Linked DNA regions of Notamacropus eugenii. The protein of the gene in region 1 interacts with the protein of each later gene in a pairwise test. Links are inferred from orthologs where the notes say so. Each region holds a gene or a part of one and is shown in the gene's direction. Other genes may lie near its edges.

Evidence for each region. The genes of interacting proteins can lie anywhere in the genome.
Region 2: the proteins of GORAB (region 1) and SCYL1 interact in a two-hybrid assay, tested with the Homo sapiens proteins (2 studies listed by BioGRID and IntAct). The link is inferred for Notamacropus eugenii from reciprocal best matches to the Homo sapiens genes GORAB and SCYL1.

Annotation. Positions count from the first base shown.
Region 1 is NC_092873.1:475,864,141-475,874,513, reverse strand, and holds the start of GORAB (RAB6-interacting golgin), read left to right. Parts: upstream 1-5,990; 5' UTR 5,991-6,395; coding exon 6,396-6,456; intron 6,457-10,106; coding exon 10,107-10,373.
Region 2 is NC_092873.1:18,291,960-18,303,075, forward strand, and holds the start of SCYL1 (N-terminal kinase-like protein), read left to right. Parts: upstream 1-6,871; 5' UTR 6,872-7,000; coding exon 7,001-7,120; intron 7,121-7,399; coding exon 7,400-7,540; intron 7,541-8,000; coding exon 8,001-8,123; intron 8,124-8,217; coding exon 8,218-8,444; intron 8,445-8,687; coding exon 8,688-8,778; intron 8,779-8,967; coding exon 8,968-9,123; intron 9,124-11,116. UniProt on the Homo sapiens protein: Regulates COPI-mediated retrograde protein traffic at the interface between the Golgi apparatus and the endoplasmic reticulum. Involved in the maintenance of the Golgi apparatus morphology.

The DNA of each region.
Region 1 (10,373 bases):
TGATTTTTATAGAACTTGCAGTCTACCAATACCACCTCATTTTTTTCTCACACAAACTGTTAATTTTTCCTTCTATGTCTTGTAATTGAGATGTCAATATTCTGAACACAAAGACTTTACATTTATCCCTATTAGCTTTCATCTTATATTCAACTTTCTAGTCAGGATACTGATCATCTGGGATGTTAGCTATCCCTCCCTCTCACCTCTATCATTTGTATATCTGATAAGCATGCCATCTACACTTTTATCCAAATCGCTATACTAAATAGTACAGATCCAGATGGGACACTCCACTGCACATCTTTCCCAATATTACATGCAACCATTCAACTAATTTCATGTCCATTTAATTTTACTATTTAGTCTGCATGACTAAATAGCATGAGAAACTTAAATATTCTGCTAAAATCTAAGGAAACTATACTCCTAGCCTACCATATCAATTCAATATCCCCACCTCAGCTCTGGCTCTGGAAACAATAATCAAACTAGTAGAACCGTTCTTAGAAAGGGCTGTTAAACACCCTATCACATCGCTCACCAACTCTGAAACTTCTGACCAAAACACCTTCCTGTATGCTCCTCTAGCTGTATGTGCTACTTTTTTCTTCTAAAATATAAACTTTTGGGGGAACAGAATGATTTAATTTTTATATTTCTGGTTCTAGTACTTAGCAAAGTTTCTGACAAATGGTAAGTACTTAATGCTTTTTCATTTATCTGACATCATCAATTTCCCTGAGACTTTTCTTACTATTATAAACATTCCACTTAACTTCTACTGTGGCTCTGCCTTACTCCATCCTTTCCCCTTGGAGATCTTATCTATACACACCTGACCCTGGCTCACAGCTCACTACCTGTGTGACCTTGGGTCAAGCAGGTTACCAAATTCCTCATTTTAAAAAAAAAAAGGCCTAATTAAACCTGATAAGGTATGGCAGCCTAGGGCAACAGTTGCTTAAAGTTACCAGCTTATTTAGAGTGACAAGTTTATGAGCAGATCACCTCTACCTGTGAACGGCAATTGAAGAGAAAGTATTTTATTAAGTATTTAAAAACATTCAAGATATTTATCTACTTTAACAATACACTTACACTTCCCAGGAGGCCTTTCACAATTTTGTTTGGGACACTCTTGTTTGTTAATTTTATCTTTACAGATAAAGCAATCACATTTAAGGCTATATGCAGTCTGGATTTAATTTATGTCACCATTCCTACCTCACTGGAACACACTCATTTCCTATAATATGGATATATTATGGATTTCTAAGGCCCTACAGATTTATATGATCTTTCCTGGAAGGTACCCCAAGGAGCTCATCTAGCCAACTAACCTTTCTGCCATCCCTTCTATATAATCCAAAGGATCTAAGATCCTATGTCCATGCTTATACCCCTCTGGAGAAAAAGTTGCATAAATGAGATAAATTCCCAGTCATAGTTCCATCATTATTGACATTTCTTTCCTTCCACTGAGTTTGTATTTGTTATATTTTAGACTCCAAAAAATCACTGATTCTGTCAACCAATCCTTGTAGCAGAATATCCCCAAGCAGCCATTAAGACCTGAGGTCTCAAACACAACCCTCTTTAGTGGGTTGAAATAGATTAAAATAAAATTGGGAAATATTTAACAAAATAAGTAAGTAATAAATATAAACAATAAAACTATAAAGCATAGATAATATTGCATTCTAAAACTAAGTCAATATATGGCCTGCAGGGATCCTTATGTACTGATTAGCTATTTGAGTTTGACACCATTGGTCTAAATGTTGCCTGAAAACTTTCTGTAACATTGTCTTTTTACCTTCTAAGGAAACTGATTTCACTTTGGGATACCTCTGATATGAAGTTTTCCCTTACGTTCACCTTAGTCCAAGTACTACTTTCTGGAGTGAAGGAAACACAGCGTTTCATGCTTGTAAGTCCTATGTCCCTTCTCTATCACCCTTCTCATCCAAGGTCTTTTCCAGGCTAAGCCTCTCAATGATCCTTGAACGCCATGGTTTTTAGGTCTTTCACGATTCTGTTTGGAGGACGTTATGGTTTGTTAATGTCCTCTCCAAGAAATGAACACATGACCTGATCAGGGTATAGCTCAGGGGCACTATTGACTCCTTTGTTCTATAAACAATATAGGCCCATCACTGTAGCACATCAGGATGTTTTTGGATCCTGACCTCTTCATTCCATGTGTTAGTTATTCCTACCAAATTTGTACCTGAAATCAAAGGATACTTGCTTAGTTTAATAAAGATATATACACAAATACAAGGAAATATGATATACCATAAAAGTGGTACAATCTAGGAGTCTGGATGACATAGACATTTTTGGAAGGTGATGGAGCCAAACCATGAAAGGTTTTACCAAAAAAGCAGCATTTTAGCTTGGCCTCAACACAGGATTTTCTACAATTATTTTCCTACTACTCATACACTTATCCATCTAATAATGATCTACATAGTATTCTTATTTCATTCACTTACTTTTCCCATGCAGACAAAATGTCAAATTCTTTTGAGTGACCACACACTCCACTAAAGAAGACCTTTAATATTTTGGGGCTTGATGAAACCGGCATGCCTCCATCTTCCTTCCACTTGGATTGTGATTGTGTCATATTAGAGGTACTATTGAAGCACCTTTGTTATCTATTGTATATTCACTTGAAATTGATAGTTGGGATTGATGAAAGCTCTTAGTGATCGAATCTTATCAAAAAACTTAGTGTAAGAAATTTGCCTTGTGATCTTATGAGAAATTTATGTATAAATTTTAACATATACATAGGAACTGCCTTGTTGGAGGAGAGTACTTCTGAGCCATTTTTTATTTTTTTGCTCTATGGCTTTTTTTTTTAAATTTTAGGTTGTCAGCAGACATTGTGGAATCTTGTATTCTCTAAATCCCTTATTTATCACTATTAAGATGTTGTTATAGTAAACAATTTTTGGAAAGCTTACCTATTACCAGTATTCACTCTAGGAAAAAAAAAAAACTCCAAGAGTAAGGGTAAGTTTTTGGCTAGAGCTCTACCGTTGCTATTTAATATTTGAGGTAAAAGGGAAAAGTTAGTTGAATCATTCATTTTGCTTTAAAGTGTGTGCATTTACTTCATACAACATTTTACTACTGAAGTAATAATGTGACTCCTATTCTAAAAGCATGGACTCATGATTTAAAGGAAATAGACATTAGTCTGCTAAAAAGGGGAGAAAATCCTTCTTGATGTCCCTATTTGCTTTTTTAAAGTTTGGATTTCCATATATCCAGTTTTACCCAGATGTGAAACACATCTGCTAACAAAAGTCCTTTTTGACAAGTCTATGGAATGTAGAACTTCATTTCTATCTCTGTAGGGAGAGCCTAGAAGTGCCTGACTCACACTAGGTACCTAATAAATACTTGTTTAATTAAATTGTTAACAGTTTGCTATTTAAAATATATTGCCATCTTGCTTCCAAGAGAGTCTGAGATAGTTTGAAACAGCTGTAGAGGTCATCAATTACTTGGGTTGAGTTAATTACTGGATTTGGCTCTTAAGTTTTCCAGAAGACAAAAAAAAAGTGAAATTCACAAAAAAGTGAAGTTTCTTTTTCTGACAATAGAGTAGTTTCATTAAAAAAAAATTCTCTTAATGCTAAATAATGCAGTTTATCATGATGGTTCCTATAAGGACAATGAATGGAAAACACCCTTAACTAGTACTTCACAAGGATGAACAGAATTCTCATACTGACTCTTTCAAAATGCCTAACTCAGTAAAACCATTGCTATATGGGATTGGATTGATACAGCCAAGCATGTTACTTTCTGAGAAAGAAACAACTATAGGATATAAAATGCCTGGAGAAATAACACATTTCTATAGCTCTTTAAGATTTGCAAAACACTTTCCTTGTCACCCAGTGAGGTAGATATTGCAAGTATTATCCCTATTTTACAGCCAAGGAAAATGAAGCTAAGAGAAGTTAAATGATGTTACAAAGATTACATGAGGAAATCATCGAGGATGTGAATCTAGGTCTACTTAACTCCTAGTCCACCACAATTTTTAACTACAGGATGTTCCCTTTCAGAGTACCACACAAGCTACACAATAAGCAACTAGATCTCCAAATCTTTCCTTGATAGCCACCCTCAATGCCTCCCATTAGACCTCGTGTGATGTGTTACAATCCAGGTTCTCAGATAAATTGTTTCCAAAAGAATTTATATTTAAGTTATGGGAGGTTTTTTAGCAAATACAAATCAATTAATGTGTTGATAGCTTCATGCCTTAAAAACTTGTTAATTTTTCAAATCAAGTCATGTTAAAAAAGAAGGAACAGTGCAGGCTTTCCCAAAATTCATTCTTCCTCCAAATCCTTCCATATCTCTTCAACTAAGGTACTCTCCCTCCTGAATATACTTTATTATGTCCAAATGCCAAGTCTAGTGCCTTACATATGGCAGGTACTTAAGATTTTATTCTAAAATTTGAATTATGGTATACTTCTGCTCAAAGCTTTTTCATAGACAAGGATCTTACTCATCATCAGATAAAAAAAATTAATTAAAAAAATGCAACAAATGTAGAAAAACTTTCAACCAGGGGTTTACCCTCATTCATCAAGTGTGGCCTAGAAGAGCAACTCTGTTGGGCTCTTGGGGGTTAGGGCAAAAATCATTTCTATGTTGTTCCTTCATTTTAGTTTTTTGCATTTCAGCTCAGTGTAATCCTCTGTAAATAAAACTTGAAAAAAACTACACTAAGTACAATGAAAAACGTGATTCCTTGTAGTTAACAGTTATTCTTCTCATCATTTAGATGGCAGGTTCTCTGAACTAAAAATTGGGACAAAGTGTTCTGACAACACATATTTGGCAAAGCCTCACATCTTTCCCTCCTTTGATTTCTTATAATACTTTGGGTCTTTTCCCTCCCAAATCTCACTCTCTTGGAAGAAGTTATTTAAGACACACATCTCACCTCCCATGTCCTAAAAATGACTAGAGAACAAGAATGTTACAGTTACAGCAGCTAGCTGCGTCTTGAGCTTCTTCGGTCTTTAATCAGTTTCTGAATGAATTTATTTCCTTAAAACCAACCCAATCTTAAAATCATGGGACACATCCTTGTAGAGATAGGTATCTAAACTGGCATAATTTATCAGCCCGAATTAAAGACAGACCAACAAAACACTTTTGAGGCTTTAAACATCTCATTTTCCCTCTGCCCAAGCAGTTCAGTTGACCCCCAAACCCCGAATTTCCACCATAGCTTCCATGTCCTATAAAGCTGCTCTCCTCAAGTGAGCTCCCACCACACCTTCCTTCACCCACTCAACACATGCTTTCCTCCTTCTCAAAGTTTTCATGGCATCCCAGACTGCAGCTGGTGGTCTAAAAGTCGTTTAATTCTACCCCCATATTTCACGGACAAGGAAGACAGCTCCAAGTGGTACCATGCCACCCTGGTTCCGACCTTACTGCCCTTTATCTTGTCATCCCCACCTCGGGGGCCCTGAGTGGACCCTCAAGAATAATGACGTCATGTGATAGTAACTGCCACTTATGTAGCGCTTCGAGACACGCAAAGCGCTTGACAGACTTTTACATAGCACTTGCAGAAAAGACTCTGAAATCCCCGCTGCTTTCCCTACAAATACCAGAAGGCCCGAGATTTGGAAGACAGCCTAAGCAAGAAAGCAGAGGACAGGAAGCAGGCGAGAGGAGGAGGGAGAAACACAAGGAGGCAAGAGCACAAGCAGAACCGGGAGAGACAGAAAGAAAGCCCCATTGTTTGGGTTTTTGTTTGAAGGCCTAAGTCTACACGAGGTTTTGGTCTAAAATCTAAAATCTCGCTGATCTGAAACACGCCAAGCAACAATACGAAAGACCCAGGTAAGACCGTCCCCTAGACAAGGATGAAAAAGACGCGGCCCGCGGGCCCCACAAATACTAAAAGGCAAGGGCATAGCCCCGCCCCTTCCGGCTTCTCTGACTCCGCCCCTCCAGATCACCCGTAAAAAGCCTGACAAGAAACTTAACATTATTCCGAAGCGCCACGAGGATTTCCTTTTGTTACAGATAACTACAGCGAGAGGGAGAGGAGGAAGGGAGGTGAAGAGGTACAGGGTGTGCTGGGGAATGTATGCTGCGCAGATCTCTCGTGGTATCTACTCAGGCAGAGCTACGGCCACCTAAACATACCTGCTTCAGAGGGAACGCGAAGGAGCCGGGGTGGGGTGGGGCTTGTTTCTGTTTGCGGCGCGTTGATTGGCTAAGCGGATGGCCCCAGCCGGCGAAGGCCCTGACTCTGTGGAGCGGTCGCGTTGGCAGCCGGGTTTCCTCGAAGGCTCCGGGAGCCCTGGGGAGCCCCGGAGAGGCGCGGGCGGATGGCGCAAGGATGGGCCGGCTTCTCCGAGGAGGAGCTGCGGAGGTTGCGGCAGAACAAAGGTAACGAGCTGGGAGATGGCTCTATCCTTTCGGTCCTGGAGGAGAAGAGGGGGCGGGGCTGGGTCCGGAGAAGAAGGGTGAGCGACACTTTGGCGGAGACGAGTCATGCTTGCAAACATTAAGCTCCTGCTGTGTACCAGGTACAGCCGGAGGCCCCCTAGATGGGTAGATGGAGCTTCCATTAAGCACTTGCTGGAGGCGCTGAGTATATAAGGCAAAGGCAAGCATCCCTGCCCTCAGGCAGCTTTCCATCAAATGTGTCCAAGTGTGAATTATTTGTGAAATAAACACGAACGGTGGGGGAGGGGTGCGTAAGAGAAGCTTTAAAGAAAGCTAGGGTCGGTGGGTCTGTAAGCTCTTACTGTATGCCAGGCACCAGTGGTAAGCGTGATAGGTAGGCAGAGCTTTTATTAAGTGCTTGCTGGAAGCACTGAGCATCCAAAGGCAAAAGCTGAACATTCCCCTCCCCCAGGACGCTGACTATCAAATGAAAATATGTGCACGTATAAATAAAAAGTATATGTGAAATAAATACACACGGAGGGGAGGGCGGATCAGAAATTCCAGTGGCCTAGTTAGGGTTAGTTGGTCAGCAAGGCTATGTTAAGCACTTACTGTCCTTGCACTGGGCTGAGTTCTGGGGATAGAAAGAGTGATACAATGTATCCCTGCCCCTCCAGGTGCTCACAGTGTAACAGTGGATGTACAGATGAAATACATACGGGATAAATGGGAGATAATCTTAGAGGAAAGTCACTAGACTTAAAGGGATAAGAAAAGTCTTCCTGTAAAAAGTGGGAGTTTTAGCTTGGAGTTAAAGGAAGCCTGGAGAGATCAGTGCTGTAGGTATGGAGGTGGAGTGACCTGTTTGAGGAACAGCCTGGAAGCCAGAGTAACTACGTGGAAGGAAGGAAGGAAGGTAGAAATGTTTGTGGAATTGAATAGAAAAAAGGACTAGAAAAAAGGGGGTAGGGAGGGGAGGCAGATTATGAAGGGATTTTAATTCCAGAGGATTTTATTTTTAAACCTGGAGGTCCTAGGGAGCCATTGGATAAGAGGATGTCATGGTCAGCCCTATATCTTCCTAAGATCAGTTTTTGTGGAGTGGCATGGAGAGGTATTTGGAGGTAAAGAGAATGGGTATGGGTGTGTGTGTGTGTGTGTGTGTGTGTGTGTGTGTGTGTGTGTGTGTGTGTGTGTGTGTGTGTGTGTGTGTTTTGGGGCAATGCTCAACAAGTAGGCAGGTTTAACTGGAACATGAGAATTTTTGAAGCAAATCAATCTCAGTCTGTCAATAAGCATTAAATGTCTATTGTTTGCCAGGCACATGTGCCATGAAGGTACAGTGAAAGATACAAGACAGTCCTTGTCCTTAAGATCATGATCTAAAGGAGAAGACTACACACAAATATATACTACCAAGCTATACATGGGATAAACAGGAAATAATTAACAAAAGAAAGGCGCTAGAATTGTGATCCATTGGGAAAGGCTTTCTGTAGAAGGTGGGATTTTAGTTGGAACTTGAAGCCAGTTGAGGAGGAAAAGCATTCCAGGCCTGGGGGACAGTCTAAGAAAATGCCTGGAGCAGAGAAGTGGAATTACCAAGAGGCCAGTGTGGCTGAATTGAGGAGTATAGTGGAAAGGTGGAGGGAACTAGGTTGTGAAAGACTTTGAATGTTGAACAGGATTTTGTATTTGATTCCACAGGTTGTAGGGAACTACTGGAGTGTATTAAGTAGGAGAGTAATATGGTTACATAGTGCAATCATCATGTAAAGATAATAGCAGTTTGGAATCAAGAAACGAAAGAGGCCATAGCATGGGTAACCCAGCAACAGTGTGCCAGTCTGTCATTTGGATTTCTTTCTGCACTGGCATGCACATTACGCAAATATAGAATTATATCATAAAAAATGCTTGCCAAAGCAAGTGTTTGTATTTTGTCTTAGAAGTAATTGGGAGTTATTAGGCCTTCTTGAGTAGAGGAGTGACATGATCAGATCTCTGCTTTAGTAATATCTCATATATACAGGATGGTGAGGAAGATAAGAAGCAAGGAGACTGTCCAAGTGAGACTCTGTTCTGTTAGTCACTAGAGGAGAGGTAGGTGATGTAGTGTTGAGTTAGGATGATGACTTTGTGAATGAAGAAAAGAGGGCAGATAAGTTGTAGCAGTACAGTCAACAAAACCTGGCAACTGAGTGGTCACAACCCCAGGGTTGTAAACCTGGTTTACTCATACTGGTGCTCTCAATAGGAAAGTTAGGGAGAGGGTTAGTAACAACATATATCTATCACAGGTCTGTGTGTCTAGAAGTTAAAGGTCCCAAAGTGGGGAGAAAAGGGAGGAACTAGACATATCTTTAATTTTTGTCTTTAATAGAGTTTGTGGGGGGAACTGTATGAGCCTTAAGTAAATGCTTCTAATTTTAGTTTAGAGAGATGGGAAGTAGAAGGGAGTGGTAGTCATGTTAATTAGATGAGGTAGAATGAATGTGGAATATATGAACTAGTTAGAATTTTATCTGTTTCAAGGAACTGGTGTGTGTGTGTTGAGATAATATATAAAGCCATGCACAGGCCTTAAAGTGTTGTGTAAAATGTTAGCTACTGCTATCATGTACTGTGTAAATGTATGTAATTTCATTTTTAATGATACTATTTTTGTTCTTGTATTTTCATGCTAGTACCCTCTAACTCTTTAAAGAAAAAAAGATGATTATACTGGCATGCTTTTTCTGAGAAGCCTACAAGCCATGGCCTCTTTCAGTTCTTAATTTTAAACCATATATACTAGTGTACTTTTCTAAATATTGAATTTACTGCTTTCCCCATTTCTACTGTCCCACTTAATATCAAATATCAAGATGTATGTTGATTTTTTGTTTGGACGATCTTGTCGACAATCTATAGAATTTCTCTTTTTCAGTCAATGCAAGACAATGACATCTCAATCAAATAGAGCTAAGATGACATTATTAAGGCTTGCCTGGTCATTAAACAGTGTTGACTTTTGACCATGGGGGACTCTTAAAACCATCTGCTAAAGCCCAGGCTGTTTGTAGTTGGCTTTAATTCATTGAATGGGTGTATCTCACTCAAAGTGAGAAAGCTATAAGACCTTAGCCTGAAAGGGCCAGAGTCTCTTATTGCATCCTGGGCCATCTGCAGCTGTCCTGATGAATATCAGGCCATTGGACCCGGATGGCTCAGGAGAAGAAAGTGAGGTTGGCGACTTCACTCAAAGCCAAGTCAACTGCAAGTCATGTCATCATCTTGATGTCATGGTCCTCTTCAAGAACAAAGGACAAACACAGCAACAAGAACGGTGTGATTACTCACAGAGATGAAATAACAGATCTTTTTGAAGTGTAATTTACAGGCAGCTTACCTGCATGTGGTTAAATTTCAGAATTGGCTATATGGGGAATTTTTATTGAGCACCAAAAGTGGGGCATGAGTACTGTTTAAGACAGAACTAGAAAAGTACTTTTTACCACTGTGTGTGCAGTATAAAAGAATTAAAAAAATGAGACCTAAAATTTGGTTTCTACTGAAGTGTTAATGTGTTTTGTTTTTTTCTTTTGTAAAAAGTAATTTATAATCCGCTACTCTCATATAATTTTTTTTCCTTGTATTATATATAGATCCATTTGAGACTGCTGATCGGCAAAGGCGTCACCCTGTGAGCAAAAGTCGACAGCAGCTACAGCGTGAAAAGGCTCTTCAGCAGCAAAGCCAGAAGCTTGGACTTGAGGATGGTACAGCAGCAGTTCCTCCAGAGCAGTTGCTTTCTGCGCCAAAATGCAGAGCTGACTCTCAGCAGCCTCACCCATCTCCTCCTCTTCTCAACTCTCCTGGCGAAAAGGAAAAGTGTCAGAGCATTGGAAATCAGAAGAAAAAAGCCGGACTTG
Region 2 (11,116 bases), about 460 Mb from region 1:
CAAACCAATAGATGAACAGGAGTAGACCTAATGATTGTAATGGCAATTCCCACAAAACGCAAGCCATCATCCAAAACCTGAGGGAGAGAGAAAAGCAACATCAAAGTTGGGATGAGATGCCCAAAGTAAGGTACAGTTGGCACCTGTGTGCCTACGGCCATCAGGGGCCCTGCTAAGGCTTGGCTGAAATGCAGACTATTTGGGATACGATCCAATGTTAAATATTAAAAAAAGTGATTGCAGAATAATGACTTGTCCCAGGATCATTTCTGAGTCCTGTCCAAAGAGATAAGAAGACCTAAAGGAGAAGAAACTTCTGTTACCTTCAGGTTGTTCACTTGCGCCTGGCTCTTTGTGACCCCATTTGGGATTTTCTTGACAAAGACACAGGAGTGTCTTTGCCATTTCCTTCTCCAGCTCATTTTACAGGTGAGGAATCTGAGGCAGAGTGACTTGACTTGCCCAAGGTCACCTAGCTAGTCAATGTCCCAGACCACATTTGAACTCAGGAAGATGAGTTTTCCTGACTCCAGACCAGGTGCTCTGTGCACTATGGCGCCCCCTAGCAGCCCTTTCTTTTATTACATTCATAAATTGTTTTTCACCTATTCTCCAAGATAAGCCTTTGGTTCATTTCCAGGGTTTTTGTTTGTTTGTTTCGTTTTTGCCACCACAAAGGGTCCTGCCTTGACTGTCTCAGTATATACTGGGTTTCTGTGTCTGTCTTTGCCTTCATTTGGGTCTAGGGCCGGTGGTGGGATCTCTGGGTTAAAGGCGGGGCAGTTTGGTGACCTTTCTTACCTCATTCCAAACTTATCTAAAACGATTACTCCAATTTGCTGTCTCATAGCTGTGTGTCGGCACCTCTGGCACAGACGGTCTAAGTTTTTGGTCATCTCTGCCAAACTGGGGTGTAAAGTGAATCCTCCTGACCTTAGGTCATTCTCCCCTCTGTTTCTCAAAGAGAAAATCTGGTACACCTCTGCATGCCTCCCTCAGGACATCAAAATACATGCTGATGTCCCCTGGGACAACCATGGTCATGCCTGCGATCTGACCATTCCTCACATGTTCTAACTCCACGATGCAAACCCTGATCCTCCTCCTTCCCCCTCTCCCTTTGCCATAACCCTTCCGAATCTTTTATCCTCCCCTTCCTTGAATCCCTGGGCTTCTCATTCTGTGCCTCCTCAAACTCCAAATGTAGGCGACACCTTCGCTCTCCCTGCCACCACCCCCCTTCCCTCCATCTCCATCTCTGCTCCTCTTCAGGTGCTGTTGCACATTTGGCTGCTTCCTCAGAATGAGGAAGGCTCCAGGAGGTCCAGAATGTGCCTCTCATCCTTTCCTTTCATCCCTCCCTCAGACAGCCTGGGAGGAACATCCCAACCAAGGACAACAGCCTGAGTCACCCCCAGAAAGCCTGCCTTGATTTTCACTGTTTGTTTGGGTTTCTAGGCTCTCTCTGAGTAGATGAATAAGTCACATGACTATCAAGAGTGAATTGTCCACACATTTCTTTTTAAAACTTTTGATTTTCAGTTCCAAATTCTCTCCTCTCCACTCCCTTCCCCACCAAATGAGAAGGCAAGAAATGCAATGCCTTTCATGCCACACAGATAAAATCAGGCAAAATATATTTCCTCATTAGCCAGTGGTGATAGTGTCTCTCTGCCCTGCTCTATCTTTTCTTTCCAGTGCATTCTCAGCTCATGCTACTTTATTGCTAAAAACCAAAAACAAGCCCCAAAATTTTAGACATAGTTGTAGAGTTTCCCCAATGTAGGTTTTTAAAAATGGTCCCTCTACAACCTCCAAAGAATAAAATCTCTTCTGTAAACCCCCAAAGATGCATAGATATAACAGCAAGAGGCCTTCTCCAAAACTTCAGGTATGAAATTCTTAACAAGGGACAATAGTTAGAATAACCATACTACCTTGTGAAATAGAGTAACTGTGCAATGGAGAGATTACAGCTCTGCGTGTGCATATAGTAAGTAAACAATCTTTCCTGCACTAAAGAAGGTCAACCTAATATACAGAGCATATGATGTGCTGCTTTTCTTATCTTGAAATGTTTTGAATTGCCAGTGATAGTTGAATTCACCATTTTCAAATGTTTTTTAAGAAGGAAAAAAAGTGACTTATTGCATCCAGTTAATGGGGGTGGAGGGGTTGTCTGATGAAGGCCCTTGGGAGGGGATCTGGAAGGGATCGGAGGGATTTCAATTTCATACTTTTAGTAATTTGGGCTATATTCCAGATCATATCTCTAGACTTCTGCTGAACCTGGGGCCAGATTCTTAGCCAAGGGCAGGTTGGGAGATGGCAGGGAGGGATGACTCAAGGGTAGTGGCAATGCCATCTTGTGGCCTCCCCCAGCAGAAATGGGCCGGGGCACTGGATGGGATTGAAGAAGAGGCTCCAGGCTGCTTGATGGTGCCCCCTTTCGATCCAGTACACCGGATTCGATGCCAGTGAGGGATGGGGGAACCAAGGTCCCTCCCTATTCACTGCCACAGCAATGTCACCCATGTAGCCTGTTGGCCTCGCCTCCCTTCTCTATATCTTTTTCCTCTGGCTGCCTTTGTGCTTCCTCTTCCTTGGGATAACTGAGGGGCCAGCACCCTGAGGGACTGGCTTCTGGTACAGTGGTCCTGGAGATAGACTGTGTTGGCAGTGTTCTGGCAAGAGGGCAGCATCCCAGTGATGAAGCTACCAGAAAGGAGACATTTCTTGGTTTGATCTGACTGAATAATTAACACTCTGCAAAAAACATTTATGCTCCAAGAAGCTTGAATGTTTGCCTCTCAATGGATTGTACTAGACACGTCAAGGTAATCATCTTGTACCATACAATTGGCAGCCAAGTGGCGCCATAGTGCACAGAGTATTGGGCCTGGAGTCTGGCTGACTCATCATCCTGAGTTCAAATCCAGCCTCAGATATTTCCTAGCTGTGTGACCCTGGCCAAGTCACTTCACCCTGCTTACCTCAGTTTCCTTATCTGTAAAACAAGCTGGAGAAGGAAATGGCAAAGCACTCCAATATCTTTGTCAATAAAACCCCAAATGGTGTCACCAAGAGTTGGATGACTGGAAAACAACTGGACAACAACCACACAATGATTCTTTCTTCATCCTCAATTCTGTTTGATAATAAGCCTGTTTCATACCTTCATACCTGATTAATATGTGCATTTTTGAGGGTTCTTTTTTTAACTTTCCTCCTCCCTCAACCTCTTTCTTTGGAGAAATTCTGGATTAGAACCCAAGGTGACATTACTCCAAAGGGCGGTTTTTCTCAGGAAGCTATGGTGGGGTGATGAATGTGAAAATGAGGCAGCTACCTCCCCTAGAGCTGACCCTTGGAATGCTGGGATGGCAGAGAAAGGATAGAGATCACCAAAGGTCATGGGCGTCTGTAGCCTCAGCTGAGCAGTGCCTTGCTAGCCACTGTCCTTCAGGGATGTCCACCTGGAAATATCCAGTAGAGAGCTGGTGATGCAGGGCTATAACTCAGGAAAAAACTAGAGCTGCATGGATGGATACATAGAGCGCACGTTTATTAAGTACCTACTGCTATGAGCCGAGCACTAGAGGGACAAATCAGAGCCTTCCCCTAAGCTAGCTTCCATCCCAGTGATGGATGACAGAAGTGAGCTGAAAAGCGGGGGACAGAGAACCCAAAAGCAGCAGAGGCAAGGGGCAGGCTGATCCAGACTTGAAGGAAGTGTGGCTGGCATGGGCTCTTCCTCAAATCGGCATTCCAAGGAGGTTGGTTGGTTGTTGCTCTTTGTGCTTGAAGAGGTCCCAAATGTTGTGTGGTTGCTCTTCTATGTTTTCCACCCTCTATTAATAATAGCTTGCATTTATATGGAGCCTACTATGTGCCATTTGATCTTCACAACAACCTTGAGAGGCGGGTGATATGATTTATCTCCATTTTCATAGTTGAGGAAACTGAGACAGAGAGAGGGTAAATGACTGGCCCAGGATCACACAGTTAGAAGTGTCTGCAGCTGGATTTGAAGTCAGGCCTTCTTGACCTTAGGCCCAGTGCTGTATCCACTATAATACCACCAGTTGACTCTGTGACTAGTTCCAGTCACTATCTCCTTAATTCCATTTAACTACTTACCATCAATTACAAACAAATATTCACTCCAAAAACACAGAAAGAACCAAAGAACAGGCAGGGAGTAGGCTCAGTTTCTATATAACCTTGACCCTGCCAAGGTCAGGCCTAGCTCTGGCAGGACTGCTCAATGAGTGAGTCCCTGTCTTAACATCTCCTGGCCTGGGTCCCAAAGGTCACTCCTTGTTCCTCAGGGCATTGATAGAGAAGATGCTAAGTTGGCTCCTGGGATGCTGGCAATTGGTGGCACCATAGTACACAGAGCCCTGGCTCTGAAGTCAGGAAGGCCTGAGTTCAAGTCCAGCCTCAGACACTTCTAGCTGCATAAGCTCTATCTGCCTCAGTTTCCTCATCTGCAAACTGAGGATAATAACAGCACACACTTCCCAGGGTGGTTGTGATAATATTTGTAAAGCGCTTCTCAGCTGGCCTGACCATCTCTCACTGGCCACAAGATCCAACAAGAGTACACTGGGATTAAACATAGCCAAGGAGATGTGGCCACAGCTGCCTGGGGCCTTTTTGAAGATACTCCCAGGTCTGGTCATACAACCAATCAACAAATGCTTCCCCTAGCCATCTAGATAGCAGACCAGAATGAGTTACAGGTTATACATGCAAGCTCCGAAGTCTCTCCACAGCCTTCATGATCCATACCATCCCAACTCTCCAGAAGCAGACTCCTTAGGCTCTCCATGGAGAGGCTGCCATCTGAAGCACTCTGTTGCAGGGGTCACAGGAAGGGTTGACAAGTCAGAGGAGACCAGAGAACACCCAACAGTCAACCATAGATCTTCAGCGGAAATGGGAAGAAAACGAGCCACCTGATGACTGCAACAATCTTTTAAGCTGAAGGATATGGAAACAAAATCCGTTGTACCAACCACACTCACCAGAAGTGGTGAGAAAATGTACCTCTCTCTGGGGGAGAATTGGGGGACCATAGGTTTGGAAGATTTCATATACTGCCGCATGAGACTGAGGGGCTTTTTTCTTTCTTCTGTGATCTTTATTCCCAGGGAGAGGAATGTATTTGTTAATGAGTGTGGGAGGCAGGAGAGCTTTCTCAAGCATCTGAAGGGCCACCATGAGGAAGAGGAGCCCTGCTCATAGTAAACACTAAGACAAATGTTTTCTGTGCCCAATTGAAGGGGGCCTAGATTTGTTCTGCTTGACCCCAAAGGTTAGAACCATGAGGCCCTGGTCTGGGGTGGCAAGGAGGCATCCTTTGGCTTGATGCTAACCAATCTGAGCTTGCTCTCCACTGTGGACTGGGAAACTTCAGGAGGTAATGGGCTTCCCATCCCTGGATCTGTTAGGAAACAATGGCCATTCTTTGGAGATGCTGGGCCTCTACCCATCAGATGGCCAGCCTTTCAGCCTATGGTCTCTCCCAAGGACTCCCTCTCCCTGGAGGGCTTCAGACAAAGGGGGGCTGGAGGAAAGGTCCCTGCTTCAGGAACCTTTGGCTAAGATGCCCTTCCTGTTGCCAGATTCTATGACTCCCAGGGCATAGGAGGCAAGAGTCCTGGCTGCCTGTCCTTGGGATGGAGGTCCGACCATCCATCTGTGGAGGTTTTTCTAGTACTTCTATCAGTTACCAGGTTGGTGTACCTGGACAAGTGACCAGGTCCCTATGTTTACTGGCTCTCCTAAGTTTGCTGAAATGAGGTCGGAGCAGCTGACCCAAAGGTGCCTGCCAGCGCTCATCCCCTAGGAGCCTGGGGTGTCTGTCGATCATGCAAAGAGCCCTGGGGCAGCTACGAGCTACTCCAGACCAAGTTCACCATTAACCATGGAATGGGCCCTGGAGTTAGGAAGGCCTGAGTTTGACCGCGGCCTCGGAGACTAGCCGTGGGACCCTGGGCAAGTGACTTTTCTTCCTCTGTAAAACGGGCATGATAAGAGCCCCAGTCTGAGGATCAAGTGAGGTCACTCTTGTAAAGCGCTTTGCAGATCTCAACGTGCCATGCTACCGTCCAGTGGTGGCTGACTCTTCGTGACCCCAAAGATACTGGAGGGGCTGGCCCTTTCCTCCTCCAGCTCATGTCACAGATGGGGAAACTGAGGCAAGCAGGGTGCCGTGACTGGCCCAAGGTCACCCGCCTAGTGAGTGCCTGAGGCCCCGTTTGAACTTCCGGACCCACTCTCACCCGCCAAGATTACGGCAGGGAGGTGGGCCTCGCGCGGGATCTGAACCCAGGTCCGGTTCTCCAGTGCACCCCAGTCCTCGGACGGCCATGGGCAAGGCCGTGTCCTCCAACGTAAACCGAGAACGATATAAACTGACGCTCGGCCCGCCAAGGAGCGGACCGGCATTTATTAACAACCTACTAAGTGCACGCCCCGCCAGGGTGATTTGCCAACGTCAGCCGTAATAACGCAGCTTCTCCCTTCCGCTTCCGGCTTCCGGTTTCCCCTCTCCTCGTTCGCTCCCGCCTCTTCCTTCCCGTCCTGTTGCCTCTGGCCCCCGAGAGGCCCCGCCTCCAAGAGGTCCCGCCCCTCGAGACCCCGCCCCTACACGCCCTCTCTGTGACTGGCAGGAGGAAGAGATGCCTCGAGGAGGCGGGGCCAGAGGAGCGAGCGGAAGAGGGCGCGCCGGGCTCCTGGGGCGGGGCCTCGAGGGGGCAGGCCCCCGAATGGGGGCGGAAAGGGCGGGGTGGCAGCGGAGCAGGAGGCCCTCGGGGGCGGGGCCGCCATTGGCGGAGCCGCGAGGGGCGGGACCTTTGGAGGGGCGGGCCCTCTAGGGGGCGGAGCCGGGCCCGGGCTTAGTCGGAGTCCGAGCAGGAGCCGGGAGCCGGAGCCGGGAGCCGGAGCCGGGAGCCGGAGCCGGACCCCGAGCGGAACCGGGGCCGGGCGGGAAATGTGGTTCTTCGCCCGGGACCCGATCCGGGACTTCCCGTACGAGCTGAGCCCGGAGCCCCCCGAGGGCGGCGGCGCGCCGGGGCCGGGGCTGTGGACGCTGCACCGCGGCAAGAAGAAGGTGACGGGCCGGGGCCGGGGCCGGGAGCGGGAGCCCGGCCGAGCCGAGCAGGCCTGGTTGGCTGGAGGCCGGGACGGCCGGAGTCCGGCCGGCCCCGCCCCCGGCCCGCCCCCGGCCTGACGTGGCCCCCGCGGCCTAGGGCAGCCCCGGGGAGAGGGCCCCCTTCCCTGCCCCCTCCAGCGGAGCCCCCACGTGTCCCGGGGCGGGGGAGGGGCGGCAGTAAGGGCCCAGGGGCTCCCCAAGCTCTCCGGCCCCCTACCAGCCCGCGCCTCCCCGCAGGCCACGGGAAATGCCGTGTCCGTGTTCGTGTTCGAGGCCAAGCCCGGGGAGGAGGAGCAGACGCTGGTGGCCAAGGCAGCCTTCAAGCGGCTCAAAACCCTTCGGCACCCCAACATCCTGGCCTACATCGATGGGCTGGAGGTAGGCCAGCAGGGCGCACCCCTAAGACGCCTCCTCTGCCCCCTTCCCTCAGTTTCCCTTCTTGACCCTTACTTCCTGTTTTTTCTCTGCCCCCTCGGGTTAACGTCTGCCCTTCTATTCCCATAAGATCATTGGGACTTGGGAGATTTCCTAGTCTTAACCTGGGGAAACTGAGGCCCAGAGAGGGGAAGGGGCCTATCCAAGGTCACAGCGAGTTGAGACAGAGCTGGATTTGAACCTTGGTCCCCCTCCCACTGTTTCTTCTCTTCCCCCTTTGTCTTTAAGACCTGCACCTCCCCCCAGCAATCTCCCCAGGTCTTATTCAGAGCCTCCTGGTGTCCCCAGCCTGTACCCTTGGCTCCCCCACCTTGACCAACCTGGTCTCTAACTTCCCATCTGTCTCAGTCCAGGGGCCTGGAATTGGGATCTGTACTCACCTGTATCTTGGATCTTCTCCCAGACTGACAAATGCCTTCATGTGGTGACTGAGCCTGTGACCCCACTTGGGACATACCTGAAGTGGAAAGCAGACACAGGGGGCCTGAGTGAGCTGGAGATCTCCTGGGGGCTGCATCAGACTGTGGTGAGGATCCCCCTCGACTTGCCCTTTGGGGAGTGGGGAGGGTGGGTACTGCCAGCCTCCCAGACCATGCCTCAGCCTGATCTCATCCCCACAGAAAGCCCTTAGCTTCCTGGTTAACGACTGCAACCTCATTCACAACAATGTGTGTACGGCGGCCGTCTTTGTGGACCGAGCTGGGGAGTGGAAGCTGGGTGGCCTCGATTACATGTACTCAGCCCAGGGGGACAGCGGGGAGCCCCCACGCAAGGGGATCCCTGACCTGGAGCGCTATGACCCACCTGAGATGACAGACAGCAGCAGCAAAGGAGTGGGAGAGAAATGGTGAGCATGGGGGATTGAATGGGCGGGAGGTTCAAGCCCCTTGTGGAATGAGACTGTGTCCTGCCTGGGAGCCCAGAGGTGCTGGTGCATGAAGGCCCTGCTCCTTCTCCCTGGCCTCTAGCTGTACCACAGCAAAGCAGAAATTCAGGAAAGGGGAGGCAGGAGGAGGGAGCCCTGGCGCCACCTGGCTTAGCATGGTCAGGCCCAGGAGGGCCCCTGAGTCCTGTCTTTGGGTCAACACAGGTCAGCTGACATGTGGAGACTGGGCTGTCTAATCTGGGAGGTGTTCAATGGCCCCTTGGCCCGGGCCTCCTCCCTGCGTTCCCTTGGGAAGGTGAGTCTCTGGGATCTGGTTTCCCCCAGCCCGCAGGATACCCCCTCATTTCTGGGGCTTGCCTTCCTCCCTTCAGCCATGGACCTCTCTCCCTTTTCTGGTCATCTCATCTCTCCTGTCGCTCACTTCATTCAGCCCCTTGTCCTCCCTGACCCACTGAGGCCCCTCTCATGCCTACCCTTTTTTCAGATTCCAAAGTCTTTGGTTCCCCATTACTGCGAGTTGGTGGGGGCCAACCCCAGGGTACGTCCCAATCCATCCCGCTTCCTACAGAACTGCCGGGCCCCCGGCGGGTTCATGTGCAACAGCTTTGTGGAGACCAACCTCTTCCTTGAGGAGATCCAGGTGAGCTTATGCTGTAGGAGTGAGCTGCCCCTGAGAACAGGCACTGGGTTGGACTACCTCCTGCCTCACTTGTGCCCCCTGCCCCTGCTCTGTACACTGGGAGCTGTTGCTCTTCTGATTTTCTTCTTTCTGTGTCCTTTCTAAGGCTGGAGAAATGTTGTGTGCACGTGCACACACACAGACACACACACACACAGACAGATACACACACACACACATTCCCCTCACTATAAATGCTACGTGGTCGATATAGACACTGGAAAACAAAGGGATGGCAGTTGATACCAGACTGCTCTGTCTGGCCTAGCCCAGCTATCCATCAACTAGTTAAGCAAGACCCTGGTCATCATTGAGGCAGGGACCATTTCACTGAGCAGAACAGAACTGAGACTAGGATAGAGGGGTGAGAAACATGGTGGGAAGAGAGGAGAATGGGGGTAGAAGTCCCAATTCAAGGTCTGCTTATTAAAACTAACAATAGCTTGAAAAACCACCTGAAAAGCCAGGCCAGGTGAGCCCAGATGGGTCTGGAGAAAAGAAGATGAAATGTACATCTCCACTCAGTAGAGGAGAGGGGGGCTGAGGGTGCAGAATGTGGCATACACCATCAGCTTTGCCCTGTGTTTCTTGATTCCAAGGGAATTTGGTGTGGGGTATATTGAGAAATGATGCGTGTTGGGGTTTATTTAAGTTATCCATTTTTAAAAGCAGGACAGAAATGTCCACCGACACACATACAAGAATGGCATGACAAAGCCTCTCTTGAGACACTTAATGTGTCTTATAGGATCTTGGCTAGTTTAGAAATGAAATCAGTAAGGGCATCCTTAATAATAATTGGCATCTTTGACAACCCTTTGGCATCAGGTGAAAAGGGGACTGGCCCAGGAGTCAGGAGACCTAGATTCCAGCCCTAGCCCGATGCCCACTAACTGCATTGCTTTGGGTAACTCACGAATCTGAGCCTTGGTTTCTTCATCTATGAAGGGAAGGGGCTGGACTGGGTGCCCTCCCAGAGCCCTTTCAGCCCCCACCTTCTAAGTTCCTTTCCATTCTCTTGGACCCCCTGGCCCTTGCTTTTATGGCCTGATTAGAGCTTTGGCCAGGAATAAGGAAGACCTCAGTTCAAATCCAGCCTCACTGTGTGATCCTGGGCATGTCACTTAACCTCCTATTGACTCAGTTTCCCCAGCTGTAATATGAGAATAATGATAGTATCTTCGAAGGGTTGTTGTGTGGATTAAGTGGGATGATAACTGGAAAGTGCTCACTGGCGCAGAGTAGACATTATAGAAAAATGCTGATTCTTTCCCCTTTCTCTGTCCTCCCTGCCCATCCTTGGAGAAGGGAAAGTGAAAGGGCCGGGGCTGTGTGATGGGTAGGGATGTGGTCCCTAGAGTTTGCCAAGTGTTAGCAGAGGCGCAGAGAGGGGAAATGATTTATCCAAGGTTACGCAGGGCTAGGAGTTTAACCAAATGCAAATTTCCATTGCCCAGGCTATGGTTTTGAGGACTCATTAAATGGTTAGACCCAAGGCATAGTTACTAATGGATCAGCATCACTTTGGAAGGAGGTCTGGAGTGGAGTGCCCCAGGGATCTATGCTTGACCCTCTGAAGTTTAACATTTCTACAAGAGTGTTGGATAAAAACATGGAGAACATGCACTCAGTTTGAAAGCCGACACAGCAGAAAGAATTCACTGTCCCTGGGTGATGAGATTCATATTCAAAAAGTTCTAGACAGTCTAGAGGCCTGGGACAAATTTAAAAGGATGGAATTTTTAAAAAGTTTTATAAATTACTTTTTGTTCTTGACACTACTGTTGTTTCCGAGTACCCAGCATTCCCTCCCCTTGGCCCTTCCCTCTAACAAAGAAAAAGAGTTGAGCAAAAGCAGCTGCACTATTCTGTACCTGTAACCCCTACCTCCAGCTCTTAGGGGAGCAGAGTGTGTCAGCATCTGGGATTCCGACGCAGTTAGTTTCATCTGTGG